2 linked regions of the Elephas maximus indicus genome follow. The protein of the gene in region 1 interacts with the protein of each later gene in a pairwise test. Links are inferred from orthologs where the notes say so. Each region holds a gene or a part of one and is shown in the gene's direction. Other genes may lie near its edges.

The links. The genes of interacting proteins can lie anywhere in the genome.
Region 2: the proteins of CCND3 (region 1) and ATF5 interact in a two-hybrid assay, tested with the Homo sapiens proteins (2 studies listed by BioGRID and IntAct). The link is inferred for Elephas maximus indicus from reciprocal best matches to the Homo sapiens genes CCND3 and ATF5.

The regions. Positions count from the first base shown.
Region 1 is NC_064819.1:106,379,142-106,386,471, reverse strand, and holds the start of CCND3 (G1/S-specific cyclin-D3), read left to right. Parts: upstream 1-4,227; 5' UTR 4,228-7,330. UniProt on the Homo sapiens protein: Regulatory component of the cyclin D3-CDK4 (DC) complex that phosphorylates and inhibits members of the retinoblastoma (RB) protein family including RB1 and regulates the cell-cycle during G(1)/S transition.
Region 2 is NC_064829.1:100,369,399-100,377,226, forward strand, and holds the start of ATF5 (cyclic AMP-dependent transcription factor ATF-5), read left to right. Parts: upstream 1-4,810; 5' UTR 4,811-4,900; exon of another isoform or gene 4,901-4,919; intron 4,920-6,057; 5' UTR 6,058-6,164; coding exon 6,165-6,342; intron 6,343-7,390; coding exon 7,391-7,828.

The DNA.
Region 1 (7,330 bases):
GGGATTGCAACCAGTGTCACGAAACAATATGTGTATAAGTTTTTGAATGAGAAATTAATTTAAGCAGTAAACTTTCACCTAAAGCACAATAAAAAAAATAATAAAGTGCATAATTCAACAGTTTTTAGTATGTTTACAGAGTTGTACAGCTATCACCACCATCTAAGAAACCCACTACCTATTAGCAGTCACTCTCCGTTACCACTTATCCTGCCATTCCCCTTCCAGGCCTGTTGTTGTGTACTGTGGAGTCAATTATGACTCATAGTGACCCTATAGGACAGAGTCGAACTGCCCCATAGGGTTTCCTAGGTTGAAATCTTTATGGAAGCAGACCTCCCTGTGAAGTGGCTGGCAAGTTCAAACAGGAGACCTTTTGGTCAGTAGCCAAGTAATTAAGCATTGCACCACCAGGGCTCCTTCCTAAGGCAACCGCTAATCTACTTTCCCTCCATTCTGTCTGTATAGATTTGCTTATTCTGGACATTTAATATAATCATACAATATGTGGCCTTTTTGCCTGGATTCTTTCACTTAGCATAATGTTTTCAAGGTTAATGCACGTTACAGCATAGGTCCTGTTGCTATTGAGTTGAATCCGACTCATAGTGATCGCATAGGACAGAGTAGAACTGCACCATAGCGGCTGGTGGATTAGAAATGCCAGACTTTTGGTTAGCAGTTGAGCTCTTAACCAAGAATTCGGCTGTTAACCAAAAGGTCGGCAGTTCAAATCCACCAGCTGCTCCTTGGAAATCCTGTGGGGCAGTTCTACTCTGTCATATAGGGTCGCTATGAGTCGATGGCAATGAGGTTTTGGGTAGCAGGTATTAATACTTCATTTATTTGTATGGCAGAATGATATCCCATGGGTATGAGTACACCACAATTTGTTCATCATTCATCTGTTGATGGATGTTTGGATTGTTTCTACTTTTTGGCTATTATAAATAATGCCGCTATGAGCATTTATGTATACATTTTTCTATGAATTTGTTTTCATTTCACTTGGATATATACCTAGGATTGAGATTGCTAGATTATAGGGTAACTGTATTTAACATTAAAAAAAATTTTTTTATCGTGCTTTAAGTGAAGGTTTACAAATCAAGTCAGTCATACAAAAATTTATATACACCTTGCAGTATACACCTAGTTGCTCTCACCCTAATGAGACAACACACTCCTTCTGTCCACTCTCTCTTTTCATGTCCATTTGGCCAGCTTCTGACCCCCTCTGCTCTCTCATCTCTCCTCCAGACAGGAGCTGCCCACATAATCTCGTGTCTACTTGATCCAAGAAGCTCACTCTTCACCAGTATCATTTTCTATCCCATAGTCCAGTCCAATCCCTGTCTGAAGAGTTGGCTTTGGGAATGGTTCCTGTCTTGGGCTAACAGAAGGTCTGGGGACCATGACCTCCAGGGTCCCTTTAGTCTCAGTCAGACCATTAAGTCTGGTCTTTTTACAAGAATTTGAGGTCTGTGCATCCCACTGCTCTCCTGCTCCCTCAGGGGTTCTCTGTTGTGTTCCCTGTCGGGGCAGTCATCGGTTGTAGCCGGGCACCATCTAGTTCTTCTGGTCTCAGGCTAATGTAGTCTCAGGCTTATGTGGCCCTTTCTGTCTCTTGGGCTGTATTAACATTTTGAGTAACTGCCAAACTGTATTCCAAAGTGGCTGCACCATTTTACATTCCCACTAGCAATGTCTGAAGGTTCAAATTTCTCTACATCCTCACCAATACTTGTTATTCCAAACTGGGACACTTTTGAGGGTGAAAGGATATACTGTTAATAATTATACCAGGTCAACAGGTACTAACTGGAACATAGCCTCCCTATAGATACTAGAAAACTAGAAGATTCAATTCCCGATTTCAGAGAAATATCTGGCCACATGATGAGTCAAAACCCAAAAACCCACATACTTGAGGCAAAGAATTAACTATAGGTAAATTATTGAGAAGGAAAGCAAAGCCCATCTTATAACCTCAAGGAGATTGTATTCTCTTTAAAAGAAAAGGATGATCTTATTTAGGTCTTTGTATTGTTCCTGGCCTGAGGTGTATCTTGCATCTGATAGGGTCTCAGTGAAGATCTGTGGAATAACTGATTGAAGGAGAGAATGGATGACCCAGCTCTTCTGGAAGGAATGTAAAAAAAATGGGATGAGTCATCTGTCTGGGCTGCTGAAAATGTATTTTTTTGTCCAGTGTTGTAACAACACTAATGACAATTTGAAAATGAAAAATTAAATAACCTGAAAGTGGAGGAATTGGATCTTAAATTGATTTCACAAGTGTGAATGGCTGACAAAAGATGGTGAAAAACCTTCTAAGTGGGGATTGCCTGAGTAGGCAGGCAGGAACTAAGGCACATATCTTTATGCAGTATACTAAATTGTCCTTGAGCAGGTTAACCAAACCTGGAAATGAAGGATGTGGTACCTACCCCCAGGAGTTTTCAGTCTTTTGGGGAAAACTGGCTTTATTCACGGGAAACAATGAGAATGGTTTAAAACAACCACTAACTGGCCATGTATTTTAGGTTCAGCTACCTCCCTTCTTCCTGATGGGGCAGTGGTTAAGACCTCGGCTGCTAACCAAAAGGTTGGCAGTTCGAATCCACCAGCTGCTTCTTGAAAACCCTATGAGGCAGTTCTGCTTTGCCCTGGAGGGTCACTATGAGTCAGAATTGACTCAAGGGTAACAGCTTTAGTTTGATCTCCCCTCTCTGGGTTTCACTGATCCTCCTGGCTCTAAGTTTCCTGGACCCTTTAATCCTATAATGCTGGAAGTTTCATGGAAGAGGTGGGTCATGAGCTAGGCCTTGAGGGAAGAGGCTGGATTTAGAGAAAGGAGCAGGATGCCAGTGGTGGGTGATAAGACCCTGAGGTAGGCTGGACTGCTGGAACTGAGATAAAATTGAATAGGCTGTCTGGGGCCTCTTGATGGAGAACTTTGAAAGCCAAGCTGGTTGACTTTTAAATTTGACCCGATAAGCAGGTCCTTGGACTGGAGATGAAAGGAGTGTCTGAGAGAGATTAATCTGATGGCTCTGGGCCATTGATCTAGATTGATCTGGAAAAAGGGTGAAGACTGGGCGGCTCTCTGGGAGGCTTTTGCAATAGTAATGTAGGCTGGCCTTTCAAACTAGGGTTTGAAAACCCCTAAAATTCCTTCTGCCAGTGTATACAATAAACATGGTTTGTGGAATTCAGTTTCCCTTTAGCTGTAAGTTATTTAAACCATTATTTTTACATTAAAATAATGGTGGCTATATTATGGATAAGAGCCTGAAACCTGTATAAGTTTCTAAGGCAGAATATTAGACTTCAAATAAATTTCAGGTTTGCAGAGGGTAATTTTAGATTATGCTACCGAATTTCTCAGAGAGATTCATTCCCCCTTCCCTGTTGTAAAGGGTTTACTTTGATGGCAAATTTTGAGACATTTGCTAAGAGCCATATGGAGGAATAGGAAAGATGGGATCTAAGTAAGTTTCAGGGAGTCATTTTTTGGGGCCAGGAAACTGATTAGATACAGGGAACCAGAGAAGGGAGAAATCCAAGATGGCACCAGGGTTTAAAATCTGAGAACTCTAAAGAAAGATGGAACGATTCATAAAAATGTACAAGCCTAGAAAGGGGTGGGATGGGAAGATGATAGCCTTGCTAGTCCCAGGAAAGGACTGGCCAGGTTGGTCAGGGAGGAACCAGCACCTCTTGGTCTTTCCCAGCCTTTGCCAATGTCCTGAAAGTTCTGTTCACTGGCCTGTCATGTTCGGATCTTTGCCTGGTTTACTTTCCATGTATCATCACTAAGATATTTGCCTTAGGATTTTAGTAGATGTCTTATATTAAAGAAGTTCCCTTCTCTCCGTACTTAGTGAAGAGTTTTTCTTATCCACAGATGTTGAGTTTTATCAAATGCTTTTCCTGTATCTGTTGTTGCGATCATGTCACTTTTTCCCCTTTAACCTGAATTATAAGTGGCTCTGGTGGCACAGTGGTTAAGTGCTCAGCTGATAACCAAAAGGTTGGCAGTTCAAATCCATTGACTGCTCTGTGGGAGAAAGATGTGGCAGCCTGCTTCCCTAAGGATTAACTGTCTTGGAAACCCTATGGGGCAGTTCTACTCTGTCCCGTAGGGTTGCTATGAGTTGGAATTGACTCTACAGCAATGGGTATGGGTAGTCTAAATTATATATATATATATATATATATTTTTTTTTTTTTAAATAATGCACTCCAAGACATGTGTTCTTCATTGTCTCCCAGAGTTCCGCAGCAGGATTGAGCTCCAGTTGCCCACATGGTAACTTACTTAATGACGCACTCTCTACTGGCTTTCCTTCCCTTCCTGTCTCATATCTTCACTCCCCTTCCAGTGCTTTCTGGAATTACCTCCCAAGTAAACTACTTCACTGGAGTCCTTGTATCAGGGTCTATGTTGGGGCAGCCCAAACTCAGACAGAGCCATTTACTAACTATGGCTTTTGATGAGATACCTAATCTGTTCATGTCTCTCTTTTCTCATCTGTAATATGAGGGTAAAATAGCACCTATACCTCATAGAGTTTTTGTGAGGCTTAAATAAGTAAATGTGGTAAAGTTCTCAATGTCTGGCTCAGAGAAAGCACTAAGCAAGTGTAACTTATTACTGTTACTACTTGAAATTCTCTGGTGTACTACCATGGGGAGTTGTACCATAGTTGGGGCACACCACTCCAGACCCCACTGTCTAAGCTTTTCGGGATGCTCCCTTTCTGCCTCTTGCTCCCTATGCCCCAGTTACTCTCTGAGTTCCTACAGTCCCACTTCTTCCATCATGGGCTGCCTCCTGGACTTCAGGTGACCAGGACCACCAACTCCCACCACTCCCAGTGTAGCCATCGTTTCCATCCCATAAAAACCAGCTCCCCTAACCCTGGTGGGTGCTGGGAAGTCCCAGGCAAAAAATTTGGTGTCTTTTTTTTTCATTACTTCATTCCTTTTTTTGCCCAGTACTACTCTACACTGGGTTTGGGTTTTTACTCTACTCTATGGATATACCACATTGTGTTTATCCATTTATCAGTTGATGGACACTGGGGTTGTTTCTACTTTGTGACTGTTATGCATAATGCTGTTAATGAATATTCATGTGCAAGTTTTTGGCTGGCTATATGTTTTTATTTCTCTTAGATAATTTCCTAAGAGTTTAATTGCTGGGTCTTATGTTAACTCTAAGTTCCATTGTTTGAGGAACTGCCAGACTGTTTTCCAAAGGGGATGTACCATTTTATATTCCCAGCATCAGTGACATTTGTTATTGTCTGTCTTTTTTATTATAGTTATCCTAGTGGGTGTGAAATGGTATCTCATTGTGGTTTTGATTTACACTTTTTTTTTTAATGACTAATAATGTTGAGCATCTTTTCATGTGAGTAAAACTTAATGTCTTAGTGACAATTACAGGATTTCTCCGTGTTCAGGCTCATCATAGTCATCCACTTTAGACTGGCAGCTCTTAACAGGGAGGCTTTGGGTCTCTGCTCCGAAGCCCAGGGCAAGGACAGCACCTGATACATATGAACTATTAATGGTCACCGCTCCCTTTTCTGAGCATTGTTATGGGCCTAGTGCTATTGTAGGTCCCTGGATGGCACAAACGGTTTGCATGTGACTACTAACGGAAAGGTTGATGGTTGGAACCCATCCATTGGTGCCACAGAAGAAAGGCCTGGCAGTCTGCTTCAGTAAAGATTATAGCCAGGAAAACCCTGTGTAGTTCAGTTCTACTCTGTAACACACGTGGTTGGCATGAGTTGGAATCGACTCGGCGGCAGTGGATTTGGTTTTTGGTTTAGTGCTATTGTGGGTGCTTTTGCCATATTAATCCTCGCAACCACTCTGTGAAGTAGGTGCTGTTACTATCCCTATTTTGCAGATGAGCAGCCTGGGACACAGAGAACTTGAGTCACTGGCTCAAGAACACACAGCTGGCAAATGGGAGAGCTGGGCATCAACCCAACTCCAGAGCTCACTTATTTAGCCACTGTGCTGAAACGATGCCAGGGCTTTTTCATCCCTAGAGTGAGAGATCCTTGCTTCCCAGCTAAGAGCCCAAAGAGGATTTCTCTTTTGCCAGGTGTTTTGCTCAAGAAGGTTACCCATCTACTACACCTGAGGCCCAGATACTTACCTCACCTTTAGCTGTGGACCAGGAGTCTCAGACAGAATAAGAGAACAGGAAAGCCTCACTTATTCAGAATCCAACCAGAAAAAGGGAGAAAAAGTAAACATGTAAATATATAGGTTGTGTGTTCTAATTTTATGAGGAGAGAGTTGGCAGGTTTAGAAGCCAGTACCTGAGGTTTCTTTTCATAAGCGACTTACGAGCTAGAGATTGCAAAATACTCCCCACAGGTCAGATCCAGCCCATGGAACATTGTGTGTGGCTTGTGCAGAGCTTGTTTGTTTTAACTGAAGTAATGGAGATGTTATATTTTAAGAAATATTTTCTCTGGGAAACAAGGGGAATAGAGGGCAACACTTAGGACAGCCACAGGCTGAGCGAGCAGCCCCTCCTGGCTTTGACTGGAGCATCTACTGTCCAGTGTGCCCAGCCCCCCACGTCTCCCACTGACCCCCGTACCGTACCAGAATGGCCATTTATCATGTGACTTGTGCTGAGTTTTTTTTCTTGTTCCAGTCATCCATTGATTCATTCAAAAAAGATTTGTTGAACACCTTCTATGAACCAGGCACCATTCTGGTGATATGGCAGAAGGAAAAAACCCTTACCCTCCAGGAGCTTCTGTTGTGGTGGTGGTGGTGGTGGTGGGAGGGACGAACGATAAACAGAATATGTAAGTAAAGTATATAGTGTGTTAATTATTCATGGTAAGCAGAAAAATAAAAGGACATAGCAAATGCGGGGTTGGGGGAGCAGGAGCATTAAAAATGTAGACAGGGTGGCCAGAAAAGACTATAGGAGGAATGCAACTTTTAAGTTAAAACCTGAAAGAAATGAGGGAGTGGGCCATGTGGATATCTGGGGGAAGAACATTCCAGGCAGATGGTACAGCAGATGACAAAGGGAACATGTATGCCCGGTATGTTCCAGAAACAGCAAGGAGGCCAGTATGGCCAGAGCAGAGTGAGTGAGAGAGGAGTGGGAGATGGGGAGGGGTGCAGATGACAATAGGGTCTTGTGAGCAGTGTGAGGACTTGGATAGTTGTTCTGAGTGAAACAAAGAGCCTGTAGAGGGCTACTCTATTGAGAGAAGACTGGAGGGGGCAAGGATGGATCAGAGAGATCTGTCAGAAGGCTACTGCTGGAGTCCAG
Region 2 (7,828 bases), on another chromosome or scaffold:
GGACCCATTTTAGACACCTGACCTCCAGAACTGTACAAGAGTAAATGTGGGTTGTTTAAGCCACGAGGTTGGTGGCAATTTGTTACCATGGCAAGAGGAAACTCATTCAGAAGGTGACCACAGGGGCTGTCAGAGCTGGTACAGTACAGCGTGGGGCCTAACAGGCTGAGCTGCAACTGCTTCAGCGCTGGGGATCCAGGGACGAGGCAGGAGCAGCAAGGGGAGGGAAGGGGCTGTGAGGACTCTGTGCTCTGACACGTGGCAGGCTCGTGTCCAGGGCTGCCCTTTCCCCAGCCAAGCTGGCCTTGGCCTTTTTGCCTTGTTTGCCCAATGCCCACCTCCAACCCTGCCTCCTGGCCTGTGTGACCCTGACACTGGACCTGGCGCCTCTCAGAGACCACAGTATTGGATTTCCCAGCCTCTGTCCATGAGGAATTCACGTAGAAATGCATGGGTGTGCACATGGGACTGGGGGAACAATTTAGTGCTCGGGGACACACTTATGTCCAAAGACATCTGTCTCCAAGGTTGTGAGGAGAATAGAACCACATGTGGAAGGTACAGGGGAGGGCAATAAACATGTACAGTTTTTGAGCTCCTATTAAGCACCTCCCAGCTTTACCAACATCATTTCCCAGAATCTTCCCAGCGCCCCAGCCTTAGAAATAACGAATGCTCACAGGGCACCTCCCACCTGCTAGGCCCTATTCTAGAAAGTTAACATGCGTTAGCCCATTTAATCCTCACAATGACACTATGAGGTGGGTCCTCTCATCCCCATTTTCCCCATTTTATGGGTTGAGGAAACTGAGTCACAGAGAGACGATGTCACTTGCTGAGGGTCATGGAACCAGAGTGGTGCAGTTGGGATCTGAACCTGGCAGGCTCTGACCTGTACTGTAGAAGCAGCTGAGGCTCAAGCAGATTAAGGACCTTCCCGAATCTGTGGCTAGGAGTAAGCGGTGTGGCCGCAGGATCAGAACCTGCGTCGCCTGATGCAAACCTTGGGGGCCTTTTCCGTCACACCAGCTGTACCCTGACTGGGAAGTGGGTGAGGAGGGCCTCCTCGAGGGCAGCGGGAATGGCTGGACTCGACAGAATTTGCAAACCGTGAATATGAGCAAACCTGAGGTGAGGGTCTGAGTGGTGACCCCCAGCAGGCTCTGCCCTGGAGTGTGGGTTGGGGACCCCCATAGAACTGAGAGACCAGGGTGTGTGAGGCCTGGAAGTGGTGCTGCGGAAGCTGGGGCTCTAGCTAGCAGTGTAATTCTAAGCAAATCTTTTGCTTCTTTGGGCCCGTCCTGCCCCTGCCAGGGCAGCTGGTTGGCTTCAGGGACCTACAGCCACTCCTTGGCATTGAGTCTTGATTCTCAGGGTCCTGCACTGGTGTCCAATTTCCCTCCCTTGCTCCTGTCCACCCCAGCTGTGCTGGAGCCTCTCCCTGATCCAGGGCTCCACTCACCAGGAGCTGTTGCCAGGTGCACCAGGGCCCCCAGAGAATCCCCTCCCCATTAAAGAGCCAGGGATGATGCAACCTGCCTGCAACAGCCGCCTCACTCCCTGAGCCTGGCCCCTCCGCACCGAAAAAGAGTCCCCAGCAACCCTACTGTGCTCCTAGCCCTGAGCTCAGGGCCTGAAGGGGCTGGGGGCCTGGCCCTGAAGGCCTCTTTGAGGCTGGGGGAGGTGGGGATATCTGAGTCCTGGAGGGGCCAGGGGCCCAGGTCTAGGGTGGGCCCAGGAAAAGGTTCAGGGTGCCAGGGGCCCAGTCTAACTACAAGACAAACCCAAACTGAGGGCTCAGGGTATGGAGTTGTAGGCAGCCACAGATGACCCGCAGTGTGTAAACTAAAACATGCCAGAAGGGTTGGGAGCTAAGCGTGTGAATTGGCACCCACTCGGCACTAGGGCTGAATCGGGCGGAATCCAACAACTCTACCAGACAAGGACATAAGGCCCAGAGAGAGAAAACGGCATGGGAGGCTGGGATGTCGGCCACCATGGTCCCTGCCCCAATTCCTTCCCAGTCAGCAGGTGCCCCACAAACTAGTAACAGGATTCCCATTACCAGTTATTTAAAAAATACCCTACCTGGGGGCCCTCTCAAAAACCCATGTTGTTGTGTGCCACAGAATTGATTCTGACTCATAGCAACCCTACAGGACAGAGTAGAACTGTCCCATAGGGTTTCCTAGGCTGTAATCTTTACAGGAGTAGATTGCTGGGTCTTTCCTCCAACAGAATGGCTGGTGGGTTGGAACTGCCAATCTTTTCGTTAGCAGCTGAGCACTCAACCATTGTGCTACCAGGGGTCTTTCAAAAATCCATAGTCCCAGTCTAACCACAAGACAAACCCAAAGTGAAGTGCATTCCAGAAAACAGCCAACCAGCCCTCTTCAAATCTGACCAGATCATCAAAGCCAAGGAATGTCTGAGCAGTGGCTACAGCCCAGAGGCAGCCACGTGTGATGTGGTGCCTTGGAGGGGATCCTGGGACAGAACAAGGCCATGCAGGGACAAGGAATGAAATCAGGTAAGTGTGGCGTTTAGTTTGTTGTAATGTGTCAATGCTGGTTCCAGCACTGTGACAACTGTACCTTCCTCTTGTAAGTTGTTAACAGCGGGGAAAACTGAATGTAGGGTACACAGAAACGCTACACTTTCTCTGTAACTTTTCGGTAAATCTAAACTTTTACTAAAATAGTTTATTTACCTAGTTTCCATATATATAACCCAGAGGGCCTTCTCAGAAGAAGACTGTAGGTGGGGGATAGAGTGAGAAAATAGACCTCAACAGGGAAGGTGCCAAAGGGCTGGGCCAGGGCTCAATCTTGCCAGCAGCAGGTTTTCAGCTGGAGTTGGGGCTTCCCTTTTCTGGTAGTCTGGACAGGGCCTCCCCAGGCTAACAGCCTGCCCGACAGTCAACCCTAATCCCTGCCACCTGCTACTGTTCAAATATCTACACTGAGACATGGAGGGGAGTCCATCCTTAAGCCTCACACCAAAGCTCTAAGGCCATTATGGTCTGAAAGGATCCACTGCTGGCAATGGAAACAGAACATATGCATCTCAGTATTAACAGCAAGAACAGTAATAGTAACAACCCTGAGCAGCAGCCACTATGTGCCAAGCACTACTATAAAGGACAGGCAGAGATTAATTCATTTAATCCTCATTGCCCTAAGAGGCACATGCTATTATTGGCCACGTTCCACCGCAAGGGAAGTCAAGGCATGGGGAAATTAGGGCCACACGGCTAGTCTGGGTTTGAACCCAGACAATCTGGCTCCAGGGTCTGAGCTCTTAAAGTGCTGCCCTATACTGCCTAAGTAATAGCGTAGCCCCTATGAATCCCAGGAACTACAGGGCTAGTGCTCAAATCTGGCTCTAACGGAAGGTGGTCAGATCTCAAGATAGGCTAGCCCAGCTAGCCTCAAAACCCACCTTCCCCGGGTTTTGATTGTTTTGTAGCTGCCCCAAAAGGGATGAGACTGAACTCCATGTGGATGAACGACGAGTGGAAAAGAGAGGGACCTTCTGCAGCACAGCAAAGAGCCATCTCCACCTGGGCCAGCTGGGGGTGATGCGCCCTCTCTTTTAATGAACGGAAGGGTAAAAACCAAAGGAAACCCGATGTCGTCAAGTGGATTCGGACTTATAGTGACCCCGGCTGGAAGACAGTTCCCTGATGCTGAGTGGCAGCTGAGACAAAAAACTGTAAAACCATCGGGAGAAGGGCAGGGGCAGGAGAAAGAACTAGCTGACGAGGGCTGAAGAAGGTGGGCAGGGGCTGTTGAAAAGAGAAAAAGCTGGAGAGGGGGCCATGAGGCCTGAATCCCTCCACCTGGAAGTGGCTGAGCATCTACCACTTGGGAAGGGGAGGGAGGGGATGGCTGGAAATGAACACCAGGGAGGACTGAGACACACAAAAATGACCTCTTAACAGGTGTTGGGTGGTCCAGTGCCTGGGGTTCTGCCAGAAGGGGTGAGACTGGGCACCAGAGTTCCTTTTAATAACAAGGCACCGTTTACCAGGCAAGTATGAGCCCGGTTCTGTGCTTAGGGTTTCGAAGACATCACCTTATTTAACTCTGACAAACAACCCTACCACATGGACACATGAGGCACTGAAAACTTCAGTTATTTGCCCAAGGCCACCCTGGCCGCTCTGTGACTTGAACGAAGGCCATCTGACTCTGACTCAAGCAAGATCTCAAACCTACAAGGCTTTTCAGGCCCGGGCAGCAGCTGAGGGATGAATGGACGGAGAGATTTGGGTGTGGTTGGCAGGAAATTCTTTCATGAAGGGGGGAAGGGAACAGAGAAATGACCACGTGCGAGTCTGAGGGAGGAGAGGCCGGGGTCGGGCTCCAGAGTCAGACAGGAGAGGGCCCGATCCCCAGAAACACGAGCGAGTCTGATCACCAGATCACAGAGAGGAGGAGACTAGACCCCCGGTTCTGAGGGAGGGAGGGGTCTTACCCCCGGGTCAGAAGCAGGAGGGCGCCGGACGCCCGGGTGAGAGGGAGGAGGGGATCCGATCCTCAGATGAGATGGAAGAGGGGGTCCGAACCCCGGGTGAAAGGGAGGAGGGCTCCGGGCCCGCCTCCCGGTTAGGGCCGCACAGGGGCGGAGCGCGGAAGGATCCGGACGGACTGTGCTGCGCCACCTGCGGTATATCTGTCCCCAGTCCCCGGGGCCGCCTCATTCCCCGTCCTCAGATCACGGTTTCCTCACACTAGCGCGACGCCGCCACCGCCCGCGTAGCCCTGGCCATGGCCCTGTAGCCGCGACCCCTCCGTGCCCCCCGGCCCGTCTCCGCGCTCACCGCACCTGCGCTATCCGCTCTTGCCTTCTTTCTTCAGCCGAGGCCTCCGCTGCCTCCCCTTTCTGCCGCCATGGAGTGAGTAACCGCTCGCCCCTCCCTCTCCAACCGCCTTTCCCGCCCTTTCGCTGCGCGCGGCCCTCAAGGCCTGACCGGGGGTTGGGTAGGGAGAAGTGATTGGGGAATCTTGGTTGCGCAGGCGCAGAAGCGGGGGGGCGCCTGTCGGCGCCCATCGGAGCATGCGCACTCGGTCCGAGGTGGGGGGGCAGGGTTCTTCCTGATTGTTTACGCTAAGGGAACGCGTGCGGTTACTGCCGCGCACTAGCTCCCACAGAGTTCCCTCCCCCTCCCCCGGAAACGAGTCTAGCCGTACGCTGTTGGTCATGCGCACCAGCCCACCAGAGCCCGTAATTGTGCGGAAAGGTCGGGGCGTACGCCGCCGCATATGCGCACTGACCCCCAAGAGGGCGGGGAGGGGGGGAATGCATGAGAACACAATTTACACCACCTGGATGACAGATCATGCGCTTTAGCCCTCGGGGAGACGGCGACTTGTGGAAGGGTGGGGGTGGAAGACATTTTCCACAACCTTTCCCCCGCCCTCCTTTCTCCACACTGCGGTGGCGCACAGCGTAGCTTCACTCGCTTTCAGCAGGCATCTGCTGGGGCGGGGCCTAGTTTAGATTGACAGGGAAGAAGGCGGGGCTTAGGGCGAGGAACACAGGTTTCGTGAGGGGCGGGCCAACACGTTGTGGGAAAGGGCGGGGCCAGGCGAGGAGGGGTTTCGTCTGGAGAAAGGCGGGGCCTATAGGGACTCAGGAGGAGTGGAGCTTGGAGGGCACGGGGGCAGGCGGGGAGTGGGGGTTCACTACTAAATTTAAGCGAAGAGTGGAGTCTAAGCACATAGCATTGATGAAGGAACAAAACATGGGGGAATTCCCCTGGGAACTGATTTGAGATGGAATCTAGGGATGGGGCGGAGCCTAAAGGAAACATTTTTGGGGAAGGGGCGTGGCTAGAAGAAAATTCCCCTGGGATTCAGGTTTTTTAATGAAGAAGAGTGTCAAGGGGTGGATGGGAGAGGCCTAAGGAGAATTCCCTTGGGAGTGTGGGGGGCTCAGGGTTTAGAATTCCGAGAGGGGGGAACCTGTTAGCAATGGGGGTATGGCTTCCCGGTGCCTTTGGCTGGTGGCGGTCTGGCTGCTGACTCTGCTCCCTTTGTCTCCAACGTGTAGGTCCTCCGGTTTCGCCTTGGTGCCTGCCTTAGTCCATCTGAGCAACCTCCCAGCTGTTGGTGCTGCCTCCTTCGTTGCCATCCGTGCCCAGCGCCTCTTTTGCAGCCATGTCACTCCTGGCGACCCTGGGGCTGGAGCTGGACAGGACCCTGCTCCCAGCTAGCGGGCTGGGCTGGCTCGTAGACTATGGGAAACTCCCCCTGGCCCCTGCCCCCCTGGGCCCCTATGAGGTCCTTGGGGGAGCCCTGGAGGGCGGGCTTCCAGGGGGGGGAGAGCCCCTGGCAGGTAAGGGCAGGTGGAGAATGGAGGTGGATGAGCTGGGGGGAAGTGGGGGAGAGGGAGAAGGAAGAATTAATTTATTCATTGATTCTGTAAATACAATGCGTCAGGCACTGTTTTAGCTGCTGAGGATAGAGCCAGGAACAAGACTGACATGATTCCTGCCTTCCCAGAACTCACATTCTTGTGGGGAGACAGACAACAGTCAAGTAAAACGAAGATGTATTGGGACTAAGTAGGAAGCACTTAGTGACTGAGCTAGAAAATATCAAAGGGGACCTAGTTTTAGAGTGGGTAGCCAGGATACCTTGTCCAAGAAGGTAACATTAAGCTGTGGCCTGAAGAATGGGAAGGAACGAGCTATCAAAAGGCCCAAGGGAAGAGCATTTCAGGTGAAGGAACAGCATATGCAGAGACCCTGAGACAGGAATTGTTTTAGTCATTACTATATCCCAAATGCTTGACACATTGTAGGTTTTCAGTAATTAATGAATTAAAGTTGAAGCACGGTGTGTGTGTATGTGTGTGTGATGTCATCTAGTTGGTGTTTTAAGGACAAACTAGAGAGTAGATTAGAGGAACCGTAGAAAAAAGTAAAGAGGATGTTGGATTGGTTGAAGAAAAGGTTGGTTGATGGATGGTTGGGTGACTGGTTGGCAGATTGGTTCTTTTGTTGGCTGACTGGTTTTTTGGCTGTTTGACTGGTTGATTGATTAGTTGGCTGACTGACTGATTCATTGGTTGGTTGACTGGTTTGTGGGATGGTTGTCTGGCTGGTCTACAGGTGGTTTGGTTGACTGGTTGACTGCTTCACTGATTGGTTGATGGCTTGGTTTACTGGCTCATTGATTGATTTACTGGTTGGTTGGTTGATTGGTCAAATTGTTGGCTGATTGTTCATTGGTTGCTTGACTGACTTGTTGGCTTGTTGACTGGTTTGATGATTTGTTGATTGGTTGGTTGTTTTACTGAATGAATGGGATGAATGAGTACCCAATTGGATGGAGGACCAGGAACTCAGATGGAACTTTATGTCCCTTCTCCAATTCCCTAGGAGACGGCTTCTCTGACTGGATGACTGAGCGGGTTGACTTCACAGCCCTCCTTCCTCTGGAGCCTCCCTTTCCCCCTGGTGCCCTTCCCCCACCTTCCCCGCCCCCACCTGATCTGGAAGCCATGGCCTCCCTCCTCAAGAAGGAGCTGGAGCAGATGGAAGACTTCTTTCTTGATGCCCCACTCCTCCCACCACCCTCCCCTCCTCCGCCACCCCCACAAGTTCCTCCTCTCCCCCTCCCCACCTTAGACCTCCCCCAGCCCCCTGCCCTGGATACCCTCGACTTGCTGGCCATCTACTGCCGCAGCGAGACTGGGCAGGGGGATGCTGTGGGGTTGGCACCCCTGCCCCCACCACAGCAGCCCCATCCTCCCCCACCTCAGCCCTCTCGCCCAGCCCCGTACCCCAACCCTGCCACCACCCGAGGGGACCGCAAGC